3 linked regions of the Pelodiscus sinensis genome follow. The protein of the gene in region 2 purifies or fractionates together with the protein of the main gene of each other region. This does not show direct contact. Links are inferred from orthologs where the notes say so. Each region holds a gene or a part of one and is shown on either strand. Other genes may lie near its edges. The genes, in order: DBN1, TWF1 and CAPZB.

Evidence for each region.
Region 1: the proteins of TWF1 (region 2) and DBN1 purify together in Homo sapiens (affinity purification with mass spectrometry; 3 studies listed by BioGRID and IntAct, with this or other methods). This does not show direct contact. The link is inferred for Pelodiscus sinensis from reciprocal best matches to the Homo sapiens genes TWF1 and DBN1.
Region 3: the proteins of TWF1 (region 2) and CAPZB purify together in Homo sapiens (affinity purification with mass spectrometry; 3 studies listed by BioGRID and IntAct, with this or other methods). This does not show direct contact. The link is inferred for Pelodiscus sinensis from reciprocal best matches to the Homo sapiens genes TWF1 and CAPZB.

Annotation. Positions count from the first base shown.
Region 1 is NW_027465882.1:950-9,179, forward strand, and holds the start of DBN1 (drebrin), read left to right. Parts: upstream 1-4,834; 5' UTR 4,835-4,890; intron 4,891-7,250; 5' UTR 7,251-7,297; coding exon 7,298-7,363; intron 7,364-7,998; coding exon 7,999-8,073; intron 8,074-8,230. UniProt on the Homo sapiens protein: Actin cytoskeleton-organizing protein that plays a role in the formation of cell projections. Required for actin polymerization at immunological synapses (IS) and for the recruitment of the chemokine receptor CXCR4 to IS.
Region 2 is NC_134711.1:54,401,131-54,408,962, forward strand, and holds the start of TWF1 (twinfilin-1), read right to left. Parts: upstream 3,479-7,832; 5' UTR 3,058-3,478; coding exon 3,033-3,057; intron 430-3,032; exon of another isoform or gene 360-429; intron 1-359. UniProt on the Homo sapiens protein: Actin-binding protein involved in motile and morphological processes. Inhibits actin polymerization, likely by sequestering G-actin. By capping the barbed ends of filaments, it also regulates motility.
Region 3 is NC_134733.1:7,659,296-7,667,654, forward strand, and holds the start of CAPZB (F-actin-capping protein subunit beta), read right to left. Parts: upstream 3,267-8,359; 5' UTR 3,196-3,266; coding exon 3,133-3,195; intron 1-3,132. UniProt on the Homo sapiens protein: F-actin-capping proteins bind in a Ca(2+)-independent manner to the fast growing ends of actin filaments (barbed end) thereby blocking the exchange of subunits at these ends.

The sequences.
Region 1 (8,230 bases), on a different chromosome or scaffold from region 2:
GTCTACCATCGCCCTTCAGGTCTCTTCCTCCTTGGCCTGACTCCTGTCACCCCAGCCACCCCTGGGCTCCGGGACAGCCCCCATGCACTCGCTGACACCAGCACTGCACCATTGGCCCGGGGCCAGGCGCACGGGGAACAGGCTGCTAAAATTAGCTGCCCAGAGTGTGACTTCATGGAAGGTCAGGCTGGCTTGTGAGTGTGCCAGGCTGGGCCGGCCCCTGAGCATCCCTGTGGCGTCGGTCTTGTGCGCCCTGGGTGAGGAGGGGGCTCCCGCAGTGGGGCTGGGGCACCAGGCACTGGCCTGGCCCCATATCCCTCCGTCCTGCACAGGCCCCCACCATGCCCCAGACCAGGTGTGTCCGTTTTCTGCCCGCAGCACCGCTCCTCCTCCCGCAGTGCAGCCCCAGCCTGCCCCACGGCAGGGCCCTCACGCTTCCCGTGGGCACCTGCAGCCCCAGCCTGCCCCCCGGCAGGGCCCTCACGCTTCCCGTGGGCACCTGCAGCCCCAGCCTGCCCCACGGCAGGGCCCTCACGCTTCCCGTGGGCACCTGCAGCCCCAGCCTGCCCCACGGCAGGGCCCTCACGCTTCCCGTGGGCACCTGCAGCCCCAGCCTGCCCCCCGGCAGGGCCCTCACGCTTCCCGTGGGCACCTGCAGCCCCAGCCTGCCCCCCGGCAGGGCCCTCACGCTTCCCGTGGGCACCTGCAGCCCCAGCCTGCCCCCCGGCAGGGCCCTCACGCTTCCCGTGGGCACCTGCAGCCCCAGCCTGCCCCACGGCAGGGCCCTCACGCTTCCCGTGGGCACCTGCAGCCCCAGCCTGCCCCACGGCAGGGCCCTCACGCTTCCCGTGGGCACCTGCAGCCCCAGCCTGCCCCCCGGCAGGGCCCTCACGCTTCCCGTGGGCACCTGCAGCCCCAGCCTGCCCCCCGGCAGGGCCCTCACGCTTCCCGTGGGCACCTGCAGCCCCAGCCTGCCCCCCGGCAGGGCCCTCACGCTTCCCGTGGGCACCTGCAGCCCCAGCCTGCCCCCCGGCAGGGCCCTCACGCTTCCCGTGGGCATCTCTAGCCCCAGCCTGCCCCCCGGCAGGGCCCTCACGCTTCCCGTGGGCACCTGCAGCCCCAGCCTGCCCCCCGGCAGGGCCCTCACGCTTCCCGTGGGCACCTGCAGCCCCAGCCTGCCCCCCGGCAGGGCCCTCACGCTTCCCCTGGGCACCTGCAGCCCCAGCCTGCCCCCCGGCAGGGCCCTCACGCTTCCCGTGGGCACCTGCAGCCCCAGCCTGCCCCCCGGCAGGGCCCTCACGCTTCCCGTGGGCACCTGCAGCCCCAGCCTGCCCCCCGGCAGGGCCCTCACGCTTCCCGTGGGCACCTGCAGCCCCAGCCTGCCCCACGGCAGGGCCCTCACGCTTCCCGTGGGCACCTGCAGCCCCAGCCTGCCCCACGGCAGGGCCCTCACGCTTCCCGTGGGCATCTCTAGCCCCAGCCTGCCCCCCGGCAGGGCCCTCACGCTTCCCGTGGGCACCTGCAGCCCCAGCCTGCCCCCCGGCAGGGCCCTCACGCTTCCCGTGGGCACCTGCAGCCCCAGCCTGCCCCCCGGCAGGGCCCTCACGCTTCCCGTGGGCATCTCTAGCCCCAGCCTGCCCCCCGGCAGGGCCCTCACGCTTCCCGTGGGCACCTGCAGCCCCAGCCTGCCCCACGGCAGGGCCCTCACGCTTCCCATGGGCACCTGCAGCCCCAGCCTGCCCCACGGCAGGGCCCTCACGCTTCCCGTGGGCATCTCTAGCCCCAGCCTGCCCCCCGGCAGGGCCCTCACGCTTCCCATGGGCATCTCTAGCCCCAGCCTGCCCCCCGGCAGGGCCCTCACGCTTCCCGTGGGCATCTCTAGCCCCAGCCTGCCCCCCGGCAGGGCCCTCACGCTTCCCGTGGGCACCTGCAGCCCCAGCCTGCCCCCCGGCAGGGCCCTCACGCTTCCCATGGGCATCTCTAGCCCCAGCCTGCCCCCCGGCAGGGCCCTCACGCTTCCCGTGGGCACCTGCAGCCCCAGCCTGCCCCCCGGCAGGGCCCTCACGCTTCCCGTGGGCATCTCTAGCCCCAGCCTGCCCCCCGGCAGGGCCCTCACGCTTCCCCTGGGCACCTGCAGCCCCAGCCTGCCCCACGTCAGGGCCCTCACGCTTCCCGTGGGCATCTCTAGCCCCAGCCTGCCCCCCGGCAGGGCCCTCACGCTTCCCGTGGGCACCTGCAGCCCCAGCCTGCCCCCCGGCAGGGCCCTCACGCTTCCCATGGGCATCTCTAGCCCCAGCCTGCCCCCCGGCAGGGCCCTCACGCTTCCCCTGGGCACCTGCAGCCCCAGCCTGCCCCCCGGCAGGGCCCTCACGCTTCCCGTGGGCACCTGCAGCCCCAGCCTGCCCCCCGGCAGGGCCCTCACGCTTCCCGTGGGCACCTGCAGCCCCAGCCTGCCCCACGGCAGGGCCCTCACGCTTCCCGTGGGCACCTGCAGCCCCAGCCTGCCCCCCGGCAGGGCCCTCACGCTTCCCGTGGGCACCTGCAGCCCCAGCCTGCCCCACGGCAGGGCCCTCACGCTTCCCGTGGGCACCTGCAGCCCCAGCCTGCCCCCCCGGCAGGGCCCTCACGCTTCCCCTGGGCACCTGCAGCCCCAGCCTGCCCCCCGGCAGGGCCCTCACGCTTCCCGTGGGCACCTGCAGCCCCAGCCTGCCCCCCCGGCAGGGCCCTCACGCTTCCCCTGGGCACCTGCAGCCCCAGCCTGCCCCCCGGCAGGGCCCTCACGCTTCCCGTGGGCACCTGCAGCCCCAGCCTGCCCCCCGGCAGGGCCCTCACGCTTCCCGTGGGCACCTGCAGCCCCAGCCTGCCCCCCGGCAGGGCCCTCACGCTTCCCGTGGGCACCTGCAGCCCCAGCCTGCCCCCCCGGCAGGGCCCTCACGCTTCCCCTGGGCACCTGCAGCCCCAGCCTGCCCCCCGGCAGGGCCCTCACGCTTCCCGTGGGCACCTGCAGCCTCAGCCTGCCCCCCGGCAGGGCCCTCACGCTTCCCATGGGCATCTCTAGCCCCAGTCTGCCCTGTGCACTGGGGGGGCTGGGGTGGGGGTGGGGAAATGAGGGCTTGTTCCCTGCACAGGGTGCTGCCTGGCACTGGCAGAGCCTCGGGGCATTGCCGGGAGATGGGCAGCGCCCGGTGCTGGGGTCTGTGCAGGTCCAGGCTGGACCCGCTCCACTGGGGCCTGTGGGGCGCAGGTCCCCGGGGGCTCCCCACTGCTGAGCAGGACGGTGTCTTGGGGCGCTGCCCTTCGGGACTCCCCTCTGTTCTGGTGAGTTGCAGCGGTGCCCTGGGCTGCGATCCAGCGGGTTAGCACTCGCCTCCCTGGTGTCCTTCTCTGTGTCTCACGGCGGGGGGGCCAGTCTCCTGTGGGAAGGGGAGCATGTCTGGCTTTGGGTTTGGTGTGTGAAAGGGGGCTGGGAGCCAGGCAGAGCAAGGGGCAGGGTGGGAGGGGGCGGGATGTGGCAGTCCTTCCTTGGGGCCCCCAGGGAGGGGTGACAGACGCCTGCTGGAGACTGCCTGGGGCCAGGGCGCATGATTCCCCCTCCTGCCACTGCACCCATGCGGCCCTCCGCCCCACATGGGACAGGGCAGGCTGGGGGGCGGAGGGCTCACAGCTCATCAGACTGGGAATGTGGTGAGTCAGCAAATGCCCCGGCTTCACCAAGCAGCAAGCCCTCGGGGCCTGGGATGGGGAAATGCAGATAGCCTGGGGGTGGGGGGGAGGCCCGGGTGGGGCAGTCCGCAGTGGGGAGTGGTCTGTGTCGGGGGGGGGGGGCACAGGGGGGGCACAGGGGGGATGTGCTGCAGCTAGTGCCCCTGCCAGAGACCAGCGCCCCCCCCCCCCCACTTCCCCACTAATCACCTCCTCTTGTGAGTTCCATCCCAGCTGGAGAGCTGGGTGGTTGCCATGGAGACAGGATGCTGGTTGCCTAGATAAGCTGAAATTTCCCTGCCTTCGCCCACCAGCCCTGGACCGACTCTGCCGGCTGCCCACCCCCACCTTTGAGGAGGGGCCGCTGTGGGGGGCAGGGGACACACGGGGGGCAGGGGGCGGGGGCCGTGCCAAGCCCAGCCTGGAGAGGGGCCGGTATCCAAGGAACCGTCTCCATGGAGTCCCCATCGCACCCTGATGGCTCATTGATTTGCTGCTGCTCCCTGCCAGGGGCTCACGCAGCCGGGAACGTGAGCAGCTCCGGCCTGGGGGGGGCTGCTGCCCCAGGCCCACGGGCCCGCCTGACAGCTGCTGACTGGCCCCAGAGGGGTGAAGCCTGGTCCCCCCCAGCTCGTAGGGGAGCTGCCAGCACGCTGCCTGGGGGGCTGGCGAAAAGGGCCTGCTTGGCAGCTAGGGCGGGGGGCTGGGACCCATTTCCCCCTCCCGCTGCCAGTCCCTGCCGCCCTCCCCCAGGCTCCCTGCTCACCCAGTGGGCGCCAGGCACTGGGATTCCGTCGCCTTTCACTGGGCGCAGCCAGGGGGGGTTTCTCCCTGGGCCTCGGGCGCCGCCCTGCTCCCGCTGGCCCCGCTGTGGAGGGAGAGGAGAGGCCCACGCTGACAGCCCCCAGGCCCACACACCACTGCCCCAGGGAGGGACTTCGCATTGTAGCTGGAGTGCCCAGTGTAGAGTCCAGCCGCCCGCCCCCTGCTGGCCCCCCTTGCTATGGGGGGGTCCGGCCCACCCCAGCTCCTGCAGCAGGTGCACTGTGCATGGCGCGAGGCCGCCCCCTGCTGGTGGGGTGCAGGCTGCAGTGGAGCGCTGCTGTGCCCCTCACAGGCTCTCCTCCCGCAGGGCTCTGTACACCTACGAGGATGACTCTGATGACCTGAAGCTGGCTGCGTCGGGAGGTAAGGGGTCCCCTGCCCTGGGCCTCCTGCCAAGGGGGGCTAGAGAGCCTAAACACCCCTCCCCAAAGCACTTGCCACCTGGGGGGAGGACAGCCAGCCTGTGGATACTTCCCCACCCATGGGGGGACAGACCGAGCGCCTGTGATTCCTCCCCGCCCGTAGGGGGACACACTGAGCGCCTGTGATTCCTCCCCGCCCGTGGGGGGACACACCGAGTGCCTGTGATTCCTCCCCGCCCGTAGGGGGACACACTGAGCGCCTGTGATTCCTCCCCGCCCGTGGGGGGACACACCGAGTGCCTGTGATTCCTCCCCGCCCGTGGGGGGACACACCGAGTGCCTGTGATTCCTCCCCGCCCGTAGGGGGACACACTGAGCGCCTGTGATTCCTCCCTGCCCGTGGGGGGACACACTGAGCGCCTGTGATTCCTCCCTGCCCGTGGGGGGACACACCGAGTGCCTGTGATTCCTCCCCGCCCGTGGGGGGACACACCGAGCGCCTGTGATTCCTCCCTGCCTGTGGGGGGACACACTGAGCGCCTGTGATTCCTCCCCGCCCGTGGGGGGACAGACTGAGCGCCTGTGATTCCTCCCCGCCCGTGGGGGGACACACTGAGCGCCTGTGATTCCTCCCCACCCGTGGGGGGACACACCGAGCGCCTGTGATTCCTCCCCGCCCGTGGGGGGACACACCGAGCGCCTGTGATTCCTCCCTGCCTGTGGGGGGACACACCGAGCGCCTGTGATTCCTCCCTGCCCGTGGGGGGACACACCGAGCGCCTGTGATTCCTCCCCGCCTGTGGGGGGACAGACCGAGCGCCTGTGATTCCTCCCTGCCCGTGGGGGGACACACTGAGCGCCTGTGATTCCTCCCTGCCCGTGGGGGGACACACCGAGCGCCTGTGATTCCTCCCTGCCCATGGGGGGACACACCGAGCGCCTGTGATTCCTCCCCGCCCGTGGGGGGACAGACCGAGCGCCTGTGATTCCTCCCTGCCCGTGGGGGGACACACCGAGCGCCTGTGATTCCTCCCCGCCCGTGGGGGGACACACCGAGCGCCTGTGATTCCTCCCCGCCCGTGGGGGGACAGACCGAGCGCCTGTGATTCCTCCCCGCCCGTGGGGGGACAGACCGAGCGCCTGTGATTCCTCCCCGCCCGTGGGGGGACAGACCGAGCGCCTGTGATTCCTCCCCGCCCGTGGGGGGACAGACCGAGCGCCTGTGATTCCTCCCCGCCCGTGGGGGGACAGACCGAGCGCCTGTGATTCCTCCCCGCCCGTGGGGGGACACACTGAGCGCCTGTGATTCCTCCCCGCCCGTGGGGGGACACACTGAGCGCCTGTGATTCCTCCCCGCCCGTGGGGGGACACACTGAGCGCCTGTGATTCCTCCCTGCCCGTGGGGGGACAGACCGAGCGCCTGTGATTCCTCCCTGCCCGTGGGGGGACACACCGAGCGCCTGTGATTCCTCCCTGCCCGTGGGGGGACACACCGAGCGCCTGTGATTCCTCCCTGCCCGTGGGGGGACACACCGAGCGCCTGTGATTCCTCCCCGCCCGTGGGGGGACAGACCGAGCGCCTGTGATTCCTCCCTGCCCGTGGGGGGACAGACCGAGCGCCTGTGATTCCTCCCCGCCCGTGGGGGGACACACCGAGCGCCTGTGATTCCTCCCCGCCCGTGGGGGGACACACCGAGCGCCTGTGATTCCTCCCCGCCCGTGGGGGGACAGACCGAGCGCCTGTGATTCCTCCCCGCCCGTGGGGGGACAGACCGAGCGCCTGTGATTCCTCCCCGCCCGTGGGGGGACAGACCGAGCGCCTGTGATTCCTCCCCGCCCGTGGGGGGACAGACCGAGCGCCTGTGATTCCTCCCCGCCCGTGGGGGGACAGACCGAGCGCCTGTGATTCCTCCCCGCCCGTGGGGGGACACACTGAGCGCCTGTGATTCCTCGCCCGTGGGGGGACACACTGAGCGCCTGTGATTCCTCCCCGCCCGTGGGGGGACACACTGAGCGCCTGTGATTCCTCCCCGCCCGTGGGGGGACACACTGAGCGCCTGTGATTCCTCCCCGCCCGTGGGGGGACACACTGAGCGCCTGTGATTCCTCCCCGCCCGTGGGGGGACAGACTGAGCGCCTGTGATTCCTCCCCGCCCGTGGGGGGACAGACTGAGCGCCTGTGATTCCTCCCCGCCCGTGGGGGGACACACTGAGCGCCTGTGATTCCTCCCCGCCCGTGGGGGGACACACTGAGCGCCTGTGATTCCTCCCCGCCCGTGGGGGGACACACTGAGCGCCTGTGATTCCTCCTCGCCCGTGGGGGGACACACTGAGCGCCTGTGATTCCTCCCCGCCCGGCAGGAGGCGGCTTGCAGGAGCTCTCTGGCCACTTTGAGAACCAGAAGGTGATGTATGGCTTCTGCAGCGTGAAGGAGCCCCAGGCAGCCCTGCCCAAATACGTCCTGGTCAACTGGGTGAGTGGGGCAGAGGGCTCCATGCGGGGGTGCAGGCCGGGACACCCCCTTTTGGCCTGTTTGCAGCCCCACAGGTGGGATGCAGCGAGGGGTGGAGCCGGGCCGTTCTGCAGGAGTGGGGTGCCTGCCCTACATGCTGGGGGGGGTGTTCCTGGCCTGACACTAGTCTGTGCGCAGGAGGGGGCGAGTGGGGGTGGGGCGGTTCTAGCCCCTCCAGCCACTTGGCAGTGCGTGTCTGAGCCCCGCGCAGCGCCCCCGGCTGGCGGGGGAGACTCGGCACACGCCTGGGGGGTGCGATGGGCCTGCCGGAGCTTGGGGGGGCCTGTGGTGTTCGGGGCCCCAGAGCTTTTCCAGGGACCCCACCTAGTGGAGCTCTGTGTCCCTGCACCGGGCCCCGCTGGGGTGGCCAGGGGGGTAGGGCTGCCCCAGCGCCCTGGAGCCTCACTGGGCCCCTGGGATCCAGGCGGAGCCACGTGCCCGCCCTGCCGGGAGTGACGGTCCCGCAGCTCTGCCTTGCCATTGGCCGAGCTGCCCTGGGCGTGGCAACGGGGAGAGGAGCTGTCGGGGCCCCCCACATCTCCACTCCTGCCTGCGCCAGACCTGGGGCCCGCCTCACTCACTCCGTGCCGTGGCAGGTTGGGGAGGACGTGGCCGATGCCCGCAAGTGTGCCTGCGCCAGCCACGTGGCCAAGGTCGCCGAGTTCTTCCAGGTCAGTGCGGGCGGCCCCTGGCCAGCAATAAGCAGGGCCCCAGGAGGCGGGCGGGGAGCCCCGGGCCCCGGGAGGCGGGCGGGGAGCCCCGGGCCCCGGGAGGCGGGCGGGGAGCCCCGGGCCCCGGGAGGCGGGCGGGGAGCCCCGGGCCCCGGGA
Region 2 (7,832 bases):
TATAACTGGAGTATAAACCCCCCTTTTAAAATGAAATCTGCAACAGTCGAAAATGCAGACTGGATGCTTGTGGTTCCATTTTCAAAAGTGAAGTGATTAATATACTGGGGTTAGTAATCATAATTAGGTTTCAAATCTACCCCATCAAGATAAACAGTGGAATTCCAACATTTCTACTATTGCTATTATTTTTCTATAGCCCTATCCGCACTCTTAAACTACTATTTAAACAAAAGAAAGAGCAAACTCATTTATAAAAGCGTGTTAAAGAATTGTGTGTGGACCTGTAAGGATTATTTTAGTCTTAGCAACTCTATTGAATATATTTGAATTTAAGTGAATTTAGTTATAAGACTTACTACAGAACTGTGCATGTTGGTTTCCCAAGTAAACCCACGATATATACCGTAGTGACAGCAAAATAAAAGTCTATCAAACAGAAAAAAACCCATAAAGTCTTCATTTAGTCACATGCCCACATCAAACAGAGAGGTACATATGCTGTGTCTTACTATACTATCATCCATGTTCATGTATAAATGCTTCTGTTAATTTTCATCAGTGGTTGAGATTATCTTCTACTCTTCAAATTTTTGGTACAGGGAGCCTTTATTTCTTCCCATTATCAACCCAACACACAACTAATTAGACTAATTTCTTCCCCTTCCCCAAGGACTAACATCAGCTCTATATAATATGCTACCAAGTTTTCTTTGTCTTTCCCCTTTCCAGAAATTCTCTTTCCCCTCAAAGAAAGATACATTCACTCATCTTCCTAAGAATTGTTTTTCCCCTCCCCTAAAAATGTTATCTGCTGCTTCTTTTCCAGGATTAAACCTATGCACCAAAATGATAGCAAAACATGTAACTAGTTTTGTACTGGCGTCTAAACTGTGCATTTTCTTGAAATTTCTCACCACTGCACTATCAGTAGTACATTTGTACCGCTTGAAGTAATAAAAGGAGACAAGACCTGAATGCACAGCAGCATTTTTGCCACCAGGTCATTTATACTTTTTCTAATTAGGGTTAATAGCTTTTTAAGGCCCAAAAGGACTATTATATGATCATCTAGTCTGATCTACATAACACAGGGTCACAGAATTCCAGTAAGTGTTTCCTGCAGCTAGACTAGAAATTTATGGTTTAACTGGGGGATATCTTTTAGGAATAGGATAGTGATAAAAAGAGAGTTGAGAAATATGGTTAGTGGTATGTAAAGTAAGATTTTGTATTGACCAAAGTTGCAATACAACAACCTCAAATGTTGTGAGGTCATGATGAAATGTGACTGTGTCCCATGCAGACCAAAATCAGATAGCAGGCAGATTAAGATTGATGCCTGTATCAAAGATATGAATTTGATCTCATTAAGTTTTCCTATCCCATGTTCCAGCATGGAATTAAATAAAAGCAACATCAAAACTAGCTTGTATTTTTTTTAAAGCAGAAAACAAAATTCCTCAAAACGAGAGAGAGTCAAATACTCTGACCATCTCATTAATGCACACTGGATACAGTAAGTAACTGCAAAATAGGTTTTAAAGTAATACATCCAGTTAATATAGTATAAGCCACAACCACACACTCAAATTTACTCCAAAATGGAGCAAATAATAGATTTATATGGGGTACAAGGAAGGAGCAGAGAAGCTATAATTCCCCATCTCTTCTAAATCATCAGATTACACCTAAAACATGTAATCATTTCCCAGCCATCTCAAACACCTGTAAGGGAGAGCCTAGATTTATCTGGTCCTACTCAGTGCAAAGGGCTAGACATGACCACTTCTCAGGATGCTTCCAACCTTGCCTTTCTATTCTCCTCCTTCCAGCTATATGGTACAATCATTTACAAAATTGTTGTGCCCTACTGTTCTTCACCTTGTCCCACAAAAATACTGCTAATAAATCATAGCTGGATGCTCTAGAGCAGCACAGGGTAACAGAAGATCCAAGGGCCACAGTCAGGAACTAGGTGGCTTGTTAACACAGACAGGAAAGGGGGAGCTTGCTCTAGTTTCTAACTCAGAAAGGAAGAGGCAGAAGAAGGGGGCAATTTCATGGTTTGGAGAAGGAAGGGAAGACCAGGCAGTTCAATGCCCCAAGAGAGCAGGGGCAGTTAAAAAGTCCTAGGCTATGTCTACACTACAAGGTTTTTGTGCAAAAACCAGCCGTTTTTCATGCAAACACCAGCAGAGCATCCACACTTCAAATGCGTTTTTACGCAAGAAAATCAACAGAACAGAGGGCTTTTGCTGGTAGAGTTATTCTTCTACCCATGAGGAATAACTCCTTTTTGCGCTACACCTTTTGTGCAAAAAAGGCATGTGTGGACATTCCGGAGGGGTTTTTGTGCAAGAAACCCCTATCAGAAAAAGCACAGGTCAATGGCAATCAGAGCTTTCTTGCGCAAGAGTGTCCATGCAGTGTGGACGCTCTCTTGCGCAAAAGCACATCACTTTTGCGATGCACTCTGAGGTCTGGACACCTTTTGTGCAAGCAGTTTTTGTGCAAGAACTCTTCAGCAAAAGGCTTCTTGCACAAAAGCTCTGCAGTGTAGACAAAGCCCTAGAGTGGGATGAGGCTTAGCTTGAAAAGAGGAAGGAGCAGTGTAGAAGCTGGGGAGACGAACAATGTGCGGTTCCATAGAGCGGGTGTGTATAGGCTGGGGTAGAGGGGAAGGGAGGAACTGTGGGGAGGAGAGGAAGGGCTACTGGGGAGCCTGGGCCCAGCAGGGGTTGAGGTGGTGAAAGGGGCACCAGGAACACAGGAAGGGACGCTCAAGAGCCCAGGGCAGTGTAAGGAGTGGTGGGCACCAGGGGACGGTGCAGTGGCGGGGGAAAGGGGACACGGGAGAGCCCCAGGACTGGTGGGCACCAGGGAAGCCCTAGGGAGCGGCGCAGGGACTGAAGAGATGGGGCATTAGGGAGCCCTAGCGGCGGTGCAGGCGCTGGGGGAGACGGGACCCGGGGCGCCCCGCGGGCGGGCAGGAACCGCGGAAGAGGCGCGGGGGAGCCCCGGGCCGGTACCTTGGATGCCGGTTTGGTGGGACATGTTGCGATGGCGCCGGGGCTGTGTCCGTCCGTCTGTCCGCGTCTCCGCCAGCAACCGGCGGGCTGGGCGGGAGGGTCAGGCTGGCCCGGGACACGCACGTGACGCGCCCTCGCCACTCAGCGGCCGGGAGCTCACCGGCTCCTTCCGGGCGGGCCCGGCGCCGCGAGCCGGTTCCGGGGGGTCCGGTTCCCGCCCAGGGCCGCCCGCCCCGCCCCCCTCGACCCGAGCGGGCGGGCCAGAGCGAAGCGGCGTTTTGCCCGGGATTGGGGCGCGCTGAGCGCGCGGGGGGGTGTCTGGCCCCGGCCCGCAGGCCATAGCTCAGCTGCTGCGACGCTAGGGAGCCCGCCAGGCCTCGCGGGGACCGCTGGGGGCTGCCGTGCGGAGTTCAGTGCCCCCGAGGCGGATAATGCCCAAGGACGCACCGCAGCCCCTCTCGGGCACTGCCTTTGCCTTGCCATGGAGGTGACCGCCGCGCACATCAACGGAAGGGCTTTTCGTTAAATGACTCACACGGATTGGTTAAAACCTCGCTCCTTGAGCCCGCTTGTCTGCTGAGCCTGACATTTTGCCAAGGGTCTCCATTGGCAGCAGCAGCAGACCACAGCACAGGTGCAATTTAAGGGGCGGTAGAGATCTAACGAGAGAGTTAGAGGACGGAACCAAGTCAAGTCATAAAATGGAAAACGCTTCTCGACTTTCTGATAGTTGTGCTTAGTAATTGCAGTGATAGGTACATTGAATATGCTTGGGTAGATTGGATTCAGATATGCCACAGAGTTAATTAGTTGCCAAAGTATTTGATGAAAACACCAGATATGATCTCATGTTTTGGCTGTCTTCCGCAGCAGTATCAGTTACAGGGCAAAGGTTTCCCTAAAGCTATTCTTTCTGTTATGGCACTACTTTTTGTCCTCCTGGCATGCATATGCCTATGGTATGGAAAAACTGTTGTATTTCATTATTGCAATTTGGATGATAATTTACCAGATGACATACATCTCTGATTCCTATTTGAAAGTTTTATGCCATGGGTTAGTTTAATCAGCAGTTTCTGGGAGGATACTGCCAGGTATGGAGGGCAGAAAACAGTCAATTGACTGTTAACTCACATAAAATTACATTAAAATCTCAAATGTAATGTTGCATTAATTATACAGGTTCACAGCTTCAGGACCTTGCTTAGACCTTGATCCTGCAAAGACTTACTAACTGCTTAACTTTATGCAGTGAGACTATTTGTGGTGTTTAATTGAGCACTCACTTACGTCTTTCCAGGATAGGGGTGTTAATTTTTGTTGGTCTTCTTCATCAAGTGAGCTATTTCTGAGTAAGGACGTATTTGAATGAACTTTAACTAGGGGTAACCCTCAGGAAAATGCCTTTCAGAGTGTAACTGAACTGTAAAAGTGAGGTAAAAAACACTAAGTTCTCTCTCCTTATCTATTTCTCTCTTGTGACCTAAGAAGTTAAAAAAGAAGGAAGCATTGGGAGTAGATCTTTACCTAAGAATTTGGTAAGTAATGTTACAAGAAACTTTTTGATAAGAACTTCACCTTAAATCAGTGTTCATCAAAGTGGTCCACAAAATCTCTTGGAGAACCCTGCTAACTGACCGCTCCAGTTTGTTTACTTACCAGTGCCACGGCCATGGAGTCTTATGGCTCCTATTGGCTCTGTTTTGCCATTTGCAGCCAAAGGGGAGCCATGGAAAGTGGCATGGGCTGGGCCGCTGTTTCTCGTGATTCCCCGTGACTGCAAACTGTGAAACAGAGCCAATAGGAGCTACAAGGCTCTGTGGGTGTGGTGCTGGTATGTAAACAGATAGGAGCGGCTACTTAGCAACTTCTCAAAGTGGTTTCAGGGACCACTTTGAGAAACACTGCCTTAAATCAAGGCTAGTTTATTAAGGCCTTGTCTACTTACTGCTGTGGGGATCAATCTCCCAGAGATCGATTAAGCAGGTCTAGTGAAGACCAGGGATCTCACTTTGTCTGACTTACTAAGGAGAGTCTGACTTACCTGAAGAGTGAGGAAAGGGTTAAGAAACTGGAAATGCACCTAGGGAGGGGGTTCAGGCAGTCAGCCAATAAAAATGTGGATAGGAATTTCAAACTGTGTGATGGGGGATTTTCTTTTTTCTTTGTTTGAGATCAGGGCAGTTTCTCCCAGGTATTGAGGGAGATGGGAGACAGGTTCTCCAAGAACGGACTTCTTGAAAAGTGTAATTAGGGTTTATTGATTTCCTTGTTTGGGGGTTTGGAAATCATGTCTGAGCTGGCTAATTGTTTTTCTCTTTTGTAACTAAGGATTACAGCCCAGGGACTTTCCCTGAGTCTGTCACTTCATGGCTATTTAACACCTAGTCACCTACTATGCTTGCAAGGATAGTTTTGTGTTGATAATAGAGTTTTCCTTTTTGATTTGATTAACTGGTATTGGTTGATTGTTGTGTCTTTAAGTTCATGAGCCTAGTTGCAGGGGCAGACTCCATTGTTCTCAGCAGATTCCTTCTGTTTGTTTTCCTAACTCCAAGCAAAAGGGAGGTTGGAGGCAGAGGGGAGAACTGCTTTAGGAAGGGGATTCTCAAGTGATCTCTTCCCTGGAAAAGGGTTTATTTTATATTTTCTTTTAGTCACTTGGGTGGTGGCAGCGAGTGAATCAGTCTTTGGCTTTATTTGGATCTCAAGGGGACTGAGATCGAACAAACTTGTCTCTGGGAGTCACAGAGATAGGTTTTGCAGAGTTTATTCTCTTAGCTGGCCCCCATCTCTACATTCGATGTGTCAAGTTGGGGAATTGAGTCATGACATGCTTCCATCAACTTCAGCGCTACGCCAGAATGAGAGAGTCAACAAGACTGTTTTCCTTCGATCCCTCACAGTGAGGATTCGGGATGTAATAGTGTTAGGCCCTAGAGAATTGGGCCCAGAGCAGTTATGTTAAGACAAATCAAGGAAAGAGGTTAACAAAGGTTTCTGAGTAGTCCCTGAGCAGAACTAGAGACATGGTTCAAGCAAGGAGGCGCTCCCTACATACTTGCTTGAGTTGCAGAAGTAAAATAAGTAAAAGGCTGCATTCCTATACCGGTTGTAATGGGAACAGCTAGTTTGAGAACTGATAAAGTAACTCCCTGTTTCTGTTCTCACCCTGATCTTAACGAACTGTCTCTGCCCTCTGTTGTTTTAACTCCCTGTCTCTTTGTTGTTTGGTACTTGCCTTCTGGGCTGATAAGAAAGCTGTTGACGTATTATGAATTGCTTAAGGCCATGAAGTATACACATTAACACTAGAAGCTTCTAACTAATTAAGGGGGGGCTAAGATGCTTAGGCAAATGTTTTATGATGCGACGGAACTGTCTATATAATCTTACTTGTTACTGAAATCGTGGCTGGTTCACTTGGGAGACGGGCCGCTCTCTATTGTAGTGCGCACTATTCAATAAAGAGCTCGTGATTGGATCTTGCTGGTGTTGCCTGTCTCTTTGCGGTCAGACAACGAACGGAGGCCGTCCGGGTTAAAGTCCCCGACAATAGGATAGTTTATTAGTCAATTAACCGATCAGCAAAAGCTTATAGGTTAATGCTATCCCTTCAGTGGCTCTGCATTTCAAGTGTATTAGGAGCCAGGCTACTCAGCCTGGCTAAATTCTGGCTTGTGCTGGCCCCACTCCTAGGGAGCCCTCTGCCACCCTGTACTGCTGCATCTGTATCAGTGCAGGGTAGCAGGCAGCCAGTCAACGAGGGGAGCTGGTTTTTAAACTGGCTCCCTTCACGGACCAGCTCCCACCTGGCACCCCACACTGCTGCCTGTGATGGAGATGCAGCAGCATGGGATGGCAGGGTACTCCCCAGGAGTGGGGCTGGCATCCTCATGGTAGAATAGTCGACTAACTAATAAGAATTCATAAGGTTAATTGACTATTCAATTAACCGATATTTAACATCCCTAATAGGGATGCTGCGATAAGTCGAACTAAGATATGTTGACTCGAGCTATGCTATTCACATAGCTGGAGTTGCGTACATTAGTTCGATATTGGCCTCTAGTATAGACCCGGCCCAAGTTTACAAAGCATTTTATCTTTATTTTTCTTGTAATCGTTTCTGACTTTAATGTCTCATTACTTGTACTCCTTGAAACCTATTCTATGTAGTTAAATAAACTTGTCTTATCTTTTAATTAAAACTAATGCAGTGTTGTGAATTTTTGGGTAGCTTCACATTAGTTAGCAGACAGTTGTAGTTTGATCTTATTGATAAACTAGGCAAATATAACTTAGATAGGGCCACGATAAGGTGGGTGCATAATTGGCTGGATAACTGTAGTCAGAGAGTTGTTGTTAACGGTTCTAAATCCTGCTGGAAAGGGATAATAAGTGGAGTTCCTCAAGGGTCTGTTTTGGGACCCGTACTGTTCAATATCTTCATCAATGATGTAGATATTGGGATAGAGAGTACGCTTATTAAGTTTGCAGATGATACCAAACTGGGTGGGGTTGCGACTTCTTTGGAGGATAGGGACATAATTCAAAATGACCTTAGCAAGTTAGAGAAATGGTCAGAGGTAAACAGGATGAGATTTAATAAAGAGAAATGCAAAGTGCTCCACTTAGGAAGGAACAATCAGTTCCATACATACAAGATGGGAAGCGACTGTCTAGGAAGGAGCATGGCGGAAAGGGATCTAGGGGTCATAGTGGACCACAAGTTGAATATGAGTCAACAGTGTGATGCTGTTGCAAAAAAAAGCAAATATGATTCTAGGTTGTATCAAC
Region 3 (8,359 bases), on a different chromosome or scaffold from region 2:
TTAGTTCTTATTTAACAACACTGGTTTGGTCACAGCTCTACAAAACAAGGCTTATTCATCAAGTAGCAATGTGCCTACACAAAAGCCTTTTCTAGGGCTGTTAGAATTTTTAGCAGTTACTCAACTATTCTATAGTCCCTGGGGACAGGATGGCAGCCAGTGCAATCCCACCCCACTCCTAGGGAGTACCCCTGCCACCTGCTGCCTCTGTATCAGGGGAAGCAGTGCAGGGAGCCAGTCCATGAGGGGACCAAGTTTAAAAACCAGCTCCCTGTTCAGACCATCTGCCTGCCGCCTTGCGCTGCTGCTTCTGAAACAGAGGCAATGGCACATGGCGGCAGCAGCCCCCGTCTGGGGGGGGGGGAAGGACACACACACAGTCTGTCATCACAGAGCAGCCTCTGACCACAGTGGGCCCAGGCTCACTGCAGACAGAGGCTGCTCTGCAAGATGGGGGGGGGGGGGGGGGGGGAGAGAAGGAGGCAGAAATGTAGAGCTGGGGGGGGAGGCTTTTAAATCAGCTCTCCCCAGCACCTGCTTCCACACACACACACACACACACACCCCTCTGCTGCCTCTGATACAGAAGCAGAAAGGGGGAAGAGGGGGGAGAGAATGCCAGTAGTTAAGATTAAACTTAGGCTTATTGGTTAATTGTATACTTAACTATTCATTTATATCCCTAGCCCTCTCTGAAAAATCTTAAACCACTTAAAATAGCAAACTAGAAATGATTGCCCCAACCTACATCATTGGCCATAGTTCATCTATTAGAATTTCTGAAAAAGCACTGAAGCGCAGGCAATGATTCATAAGACAATATAAAGTGATATTTAACTTTGTTAATTGACTCACTTTTGTTTACCTTTCTTTGAATAAAGCATACATAATAAAGACAGGATGTTTGCGAGTGCAATCAAAATGTATCAACTACTTTCACACATTATCCTTGGAATTTATGTACTCATGCTTTGTATAATTAAATGCTTCCTTGCAAGACTGGATTCCATCCACTAAGGACTTACAATGGGGTCTCAGTCTTAGTTGGAGCCTCTAAAATCTACTGTAATATAAAAAAAATAAATATTTTAACTGTACAAAGGTACAAGAACCTCATTGTCAGCTGCTTAGAAGAAAAATAAAAAGTTAGGCCTTCAGGTACTTGAAAGCATCAGTGAAGATTTTAAATACTGATACTGCATAAAAGTAGTCCCCCAAAAGAGGAATTTTTCTACAATATTTAGACTAGCACATCAATAGCGTCTTCTCAACCAGTCTTCATACAGTTATGAAAAGGAAATGAATATCTTCAGCTATAAGATTCAACTACAGGCAGTCCCCGGGTTACGTACAAGATAAGAACAAACCTACAGTCCCTAAGTTGAATCTGTATGTAAGTCGGAACTGGCGTCCAGATTCAGCCGCTGCTGAAACTGACCGCCAGTTCTGACTTGCATACAGATTCAACTTAAGAACCCCAAGCCTCCCCAAGTCAGCTGCTGCTGAAACTGATCAGCAGCTGATTCCAGGACGCCTGGGGCAGAGCAGCTGGGGTGCTGCTGGGTTGCTCCAGTAGCACCGCTCCTCGCTCCTTGGTGCTACTGGACCAACCCAGCAGCACCCCAGCTGCTCTGCCCCAGGCGTCCTGATTCAGCCACTGCTGAAACTGACCAGCAGCAGCTGAATCAGGACCTGGGGCAGAGCAGCTGGGGTGCTGCCGGGTTGGTCCAGTAGTGCCCAGAGCGGCGCTGCAGGACCAATCGGCAGCGCCCCAGCTGCTTTGCCCCAGGGTCCACAACAAAAGCCTGATCTGCTGGGGGGGGGGCACACTAGCTGCGCCCCCCCCCTCCCCCAGCAGACCAGGGACACGGGGAGCACAGCCACAGCAGCAGCGGGGTGCCGTGCCTCTGAGGCTTTGCTCTGGCAAAGTCTCAGAGGCGCGGGACCCTGCCGCAGCTGCGGCTTCAGTCCCGGTGCCCGTGGTCTGCTGAGGACTGTCTCCAGCAGACCAGGGGCACCGGGAGCAAAGCCGCAGCAGCGGCGGGTTCCCGCGCTTCTGAGGCTTTGCCAGAGCAAAGCCTCAGAAGCGCGGGAACCCGCCGCTGCTGCGGCTTCAGTCCCGGTGCCCCTGGTCTGCTGGAGACAGTCCTCAGCAGACCACGGGCACCGGGAGCAGCTTACGAACGGGGCTCTCTCGCCCCGGAGCTCGCAGGCAGCAATCCGCCACCTCGACCTCCGGGGCGAGAAAGCCCCGTTCGTAAGTCGGGGACTGCCTGTACTCTACCACCACTTTGGGACATCAGTCTTACAATTTGCTGAGTGGAGGGACATCCCTCAGACATGAGCCTGAAGTGGGGCTCTACACAGAAATGAGACTGTCCTGGTAAATCTAACTACTTCATCAGATCTTTGGCTAGAAGTCTTGTGCTTGTTTATAGCGGAAGTATCTAATGGAATCTAGGATAAGTAAAAACTGCCGTCCATTTGAAATAAAAGAAAAGTTTTAAAAATTGCAAGGTAGAGGAAACATGTTATTCCATTCACTGAGCAGCTCTCAAACAAGACTGAGTACACCTCCAGATCCACGTAAGAAAACCAATGCACAAGCATGACATGGTCTTCTATTAGTGCTAAACACAGCTTTCCCTAGAAGCAAGGATAAGCTGATCTTTCAAGATATTTCCAGGTATTAGAGTTATGACACTTCAATCCACTTTATTAAAGAAGTCTACATGTGTTACAAAGTAGCCCAAAACCTTAAAATGACCATTCAAGTTTTATAAATAATAACAATTTAGCCAGAAATTAGAGTTGCCACTATATAATCACAGGTTAGTTTTGAAAGTGACATACATTCTTCGGCACACACACACACACAACACACTTCCATTTCACAGACAGAATTAAAGTAAGAGTCTTGAAAAGCCATAAAGGACTAAACAGTATACATTCACTTGATAATATGATAACATAAATGTATAGTGAATTGTAAACCAAGCTAAATATCTCAAGAAACAGATGCCCTATCTACATCTGCAATCCCTGCATTCAGAAATGAAGATTCACAGCAGTTCACATCTGTTAAGAGCTCCAGTAGCTTGTTTGCCTGTTACAAACAAGATGCAGTCTCACCATTTTAGCTGACATCACCTTAACTTCCTGAATTTCAGGTGAAGGTTTACAGAAGAGAATCATTCACCACCTTGAATGCCCAGTCCCCTGCCCAGCTTCAGCTCAGGGAGCCTTTTCTTCCTCCCCCAAACAACACCATGCAGCTCTGGAGGCACCTGCTAACACATCTGTCTCTCACCACCAAACCACGTTAGCAGAGCACCCCTCCCCGGCCCTTCCGACTCTGCAGGCCTGAAAGCAAACCTCCCTTGCACCCTCCTCCCCCACATCATGCAAGCCCTGGAGCCACCTGCTCTCAGGCCCTCCCCAAGTCACCGTCCCACCACGTCACAACCCTTCCCGCGCTACTTTCCAGCCACGACATGCGACCTCGCTTCCCACCCCCGGCACCGCCTGCCCAGAACTTGCTCGCTCCGCCCGGGAGCAGGAAGCCCAACGGGCCCTGCCCGGCCAGCACACCCATGCCAGGCCAGGCCGCCGGGGAGAAGGAAGGAGCCCGAGCTGCACGGGGAAAGAGGGGACTAGAGCGAGGGGGCCGGGCAGGAAGGGACCATGCAACAAACGGAGCAGGCCCCTTTCCCGGGGGCGCGGGCACAACCGAGCGAGGGTGGAAGGGAGCACCGGGAGCTGGGCCCCAAGGAAGGGGGGGGCAGCTCCGCTCCGGCGGCCCGCAGCTCCAAGCCTCTCTTACCATGATGGCTCCGCTGGGCTGGGCTCTAGCGACAGCGGCAACTTCCGGTCCCGTCCGGTATCTCTCTGAGCCAGGCCGCAGCCCTGCCACTTCCGCCGTGCCCGTTGCCTAGGAGTGCGCATCCGGGTCACTAAGACTCGGCCCCGCCCATCGCCGCTTCTTAACCAATCCGAGCGCGGTTCTCCGGCCATCGCCAAGTATGGAGCGCAGTACGCGTCGTTCGTTCGGGGGACAGGGAGGAACTAGGAGTGGGACAGACCATTTTCTCCTCCGGGGGGGGGGAGGGGGAACCATACCAGGCAGAATGAGAAGGAAGGAATAGGCAAAGCCGAGGGATAGGGCAAGCGAAGGAACATCCCTGCGAGATGAGATGGGGCGAGTGCAACAAACATGGAGGAGAGAGAGCGGAGTGGGGGGAAGACACAGATCAGGAGGGAGCAACCACTTGCAACAGCGTGGGGAGAGACAACGTGCAGGGGGAGGAGCTGTGCAGAGGGAGTGACCAATCAGGGCAAGGAGGAGGAGAGGCCAATGGGGAAGTGAGATTGAGGCCCCACCCAACGGCAAAGGGGTGTGTTGGCTGGGCCTGGCAGAGGCTTGGAAGTTCTGCTGTGTTGCTATTGCCCCTTGGGTTTAAAAAGTGAATCTTGAGGCAGCCAACCGCGCCTCTCACAAGGGCCTGGATCAGGAAGACGTCACTGCATGTGTTTAAACTCGGGGCAGGCTTTTCACAACAGTGCTAGTTGCATTTATAGGTATAAAAGCTGAAAACCAGTGTGCAAAGTCAGCACTCAAAACTTCAGAAATGGAGAATAAAGGTTGCTCATGCAATTAGGATTTGATCCCTGTGTGCATATTTATGTACCATTTTTAATTATGCTAATGTCACATACTGTGTTTCCCAGGACCACTGGCTTACGCAATGCATGGGATCATAGAGGATATTGAGTAATCATTCTTTAGAGTTACCTTTTCCCATCAGAGAGACCAGGCACCATTCATGATAATGGTGTCAGGTCCCACAGGTTGGAAAAGTTGGCACTCTTACTCAGTATTTTGTGTTAGATTTATGTGTGTCCCCCAGCTTTATTTAAGTAACACTATTCAAAACCTGCTCTGAAAACAGAAACATTAATTGTCTATGTGGGCTTTTCTGTGGGGTTTATCACTATAGTACCTGAGCATTTAGCAAACAATTAATTTGCTTCCACAAACCTGTGGGCTGTGTCTAGATTGGCCAGCTTTTCCGGAAAATCAGCCGCTTTTCTGGAAAAAGGTGCCAGCTGTCTAAACTGGCCGCTTGAATTTCCGCAAAAGCACTGACTTCCTACTGTATGAAATCAGTGGTTTTTGCGGAAATACTATGCTGCTCCCATTCGGACAAAAGTCCCTTTTGTGCATAAGGGCCAGTGTAGACAGCTCAGATTTGTTTTCCGCAAAAAAGACCCGATTGCGAAAATGGCGATTGGGGCTTTTTTGTGGAAAAGCGCGTCTAGATTGGCCATGGACACTTTTCCGCAAAAAGTGCTTTTGCAGAAAAGCGTCCGTGCCAATCTAGACGCTCTTTTCCGAAAATGCTTTTAACGGAAAACTTTTCCGTTAAAAGCATTTCCGGAAAATCATGCCTGTCTAGACGTAGCCGTGAAGTAAAGGAGTGGTGTCATTTCCATTATACAGATAGGAAAATGAAACACTAGGATTAAGGCCAGAAATGTCCACTATTTTGGGGAGGGCCCAGTTTGAGGTACTGATGTCCTGATATTTCAGAATACTGAGTATTATAAAGAAATATTTGTGTTCAAAGCTCATCTTCCATCAACTTCAGTTTGTAGCTGCAAGTGCTCAGCATTTCTGCAGTTCCAACCCCATATATATGCAAATATAACTCCACTGAAGCCAGGAGAGTAATGCCAAGGGAGAATCTGGCCCATTGCATGGCAGCACTTTGCTCTATAGCTTTTTTGGAACAAATGTTTGGCCTCTGCTTCACAAGACTTGGAGTGCCTGATTCCGGAGGACCCTCTGTTAATGCTTTTTGGCATATGAATTGCAGACTTGGCACTAGCATAAGCCAAAAACCCTTTTGTTGCTCCATTTACTTTTCCTAGCCTGGAGGTGCATGCTGTGGAACTGGAAATGCTGACGAGAAGTCACAAAATGTTTCCTCGTCTGATGTAATGTCATTGGATCTGGTATGACATTCTCTGCTATGTTGTGTGAAATGCTTCCATTACGATTGTAACAGAAGCTCTATTCTGTGGGGAATTGCTTCACATTTTCCACGGATATAATATCATGCCCATATATCCTTCTGGCTGGATATGATGAGGGAACAGCTCTGATTTTACTTTACCAGGTTAATACAGGCAGTCCCCGGGTTACGTACAAGATAGGGACTGTAGGTTTGTTCTTAAGTTGAATCTGTATGTAAGTCGGAACTGGCATCCAGATTCAGCCGCTGCTGAAACTGACCAGCGGCTGACTACAGGAAGCCCGAGGCAGAGTTGCTCTGCCCCGGGCTTCCTGGAATCAGCCTCTGATCAGTTTCAACAGGCTGAATCTGGACACCAGTTCTTACATACAGATTCAACTTAAGAACCGCAGGCGTCCCCAAGTCATCTGCTGCTGAAACTGATCAGCGGCTGATTCCAGGAAGCCCGGGGCAGAGCAACTCTGCCTCGGGCTTCCTGTAGTCAGCGCTGGTCAGTTTCAGCAGTGGCTGGCTTGAGGACGCCTGGGGCAGAGCAGCTGGGGTGCTTCTGGGTTGCTCCAGTTGCGCCGCTCCTCGGCGCTACTGGACCAATCCACCAGCACCCCAGCTGCTCTGCCCCAGGCGTCCTGATTCAGCGCTGCTGAAACTGACCAGCAGCGGCTGAATCAGGACGCCTGAGGCAGAGCAGCTGGGGTGCTGCCGGGTTGGTCCAGTAGTGCCCAAAGCGGCGCTGCGGGACCAACCGGCAGCGCCCCAGCTGCTCTGCCCCAGGCGTCGGGAGAAAAGTCTGGACTGCTGAGGGGAGGGCGTACTAGCTGCCCCTCCCCAGGAGACCAGGGAGACGCAGGCGGGGGACCGAGACGCACCGCGGTCCCGCCGCCTGGGTCCTCCGCGGCTTTGCTCCACATCTCCCTGGTCTGCTGATCTGGGCTGTCCGCTGGGCCGTCGGATCCGCAGACCAGGGAGATGGGGAGCAAAGCCTCTGAGGATGCCGGCAGCGGGACAGCTGCGGCACCCGAGCTGTCCGCTGCCCCCGTGCTACGCGGCTTTGCTCCCCGTCTCCCTGGTCTGGGGAGACGTGGAGCAAAGCCGCGGAGCACGCGGGCAGCGGACAGCCCAGAGGCGCCATGGCTGTCCCGCTGACGGCGTCCTCAGAGGCTTTGCTTCCCATCTCCCTGGTCTCGTAAGTCGGATTCGCGTAACTCGGGGACTGCCTGTACCATTGTCCATTGCTTGAACCAAAATGCCATTAAATATATTAGATATGTTCCAGTATTTTTCCAAATACATGTATTTGTATTTAATGTAACAAATAGCACAAATTAAGCAGCCTCAAATTTCAGTTTGGGAAATGGATAGGTTTTCAGACAAGTTTTAGTGCACATACAGCTACTAGGTGAACTGGCACCTACAATGTGAAAAGTAGATGACTTTTCATGAAAAATGATCCAAATTCATATTTCATAGCAGTCACCACACATGCAAATTAGATATGTCATTGCACACATTTTGAAATTACCTGACAATCTGATACTACCTTTTTTTCTACGTCAGTCTAATTCCTTTTGATCATCTCTCACTCCATATATTTCTGTGCTGCAATTTTGAAAATAATATTCCTTTTAGCTCCGTGACAGGAGGCCCTGGGAAAATGGAGCGTTACTGGCCTGTAGCATTGGGAAAATGCTGTAATGGATATTACTTGGGGCATTCAAAACTAAACTGGGCAAAATACTATCATATGTACAATAGGAAACAATCTTGCACTCAGAAGGGTTATGGACCTAATACCATTTTACTAGCTCTGTGTTCCACAGACCAGATCCTCAGCTGGTGTACATCTTACTTGAGGAATAAGGGATCTTCCAGAAAAGGGCTTATTTTCCGCAAGATCCCGTCTAGACTGGTGCTTTTCTCCGGCAAAACCCCGAGCCGGAAAAAAGCGGCAGCCATGTTAATGCAAATGCCGCGGGGGATATTTAAATCCCCCGCGGCATTTGCAATTGTGATGTGTCTCATTAGCATCCCTTTTACGGAAAAGGGTGCCAGTGTAGACACAGCACATAAGTAGGTCAATATTATCAGGCTGTGTATTTAACTGGATCAGTGACAGCCTCCTTGTTTACAGGCTGTAATTGCACCTCACTGTTCAGCAGGAGAGGGAAATTGCAGGCTAATTTATTTTAAACAATTTCCAAAGTCCAAATGAGCATTAAGGCCAAGAGGATGTTTTTCTTAGTGGCAGAAATAAAAGCATCCTGGACTTTATTTTCCTGCTAGTAGGTATATAGAAGAATAAACAGCTGCTTTCTGGTTTCCCAGAA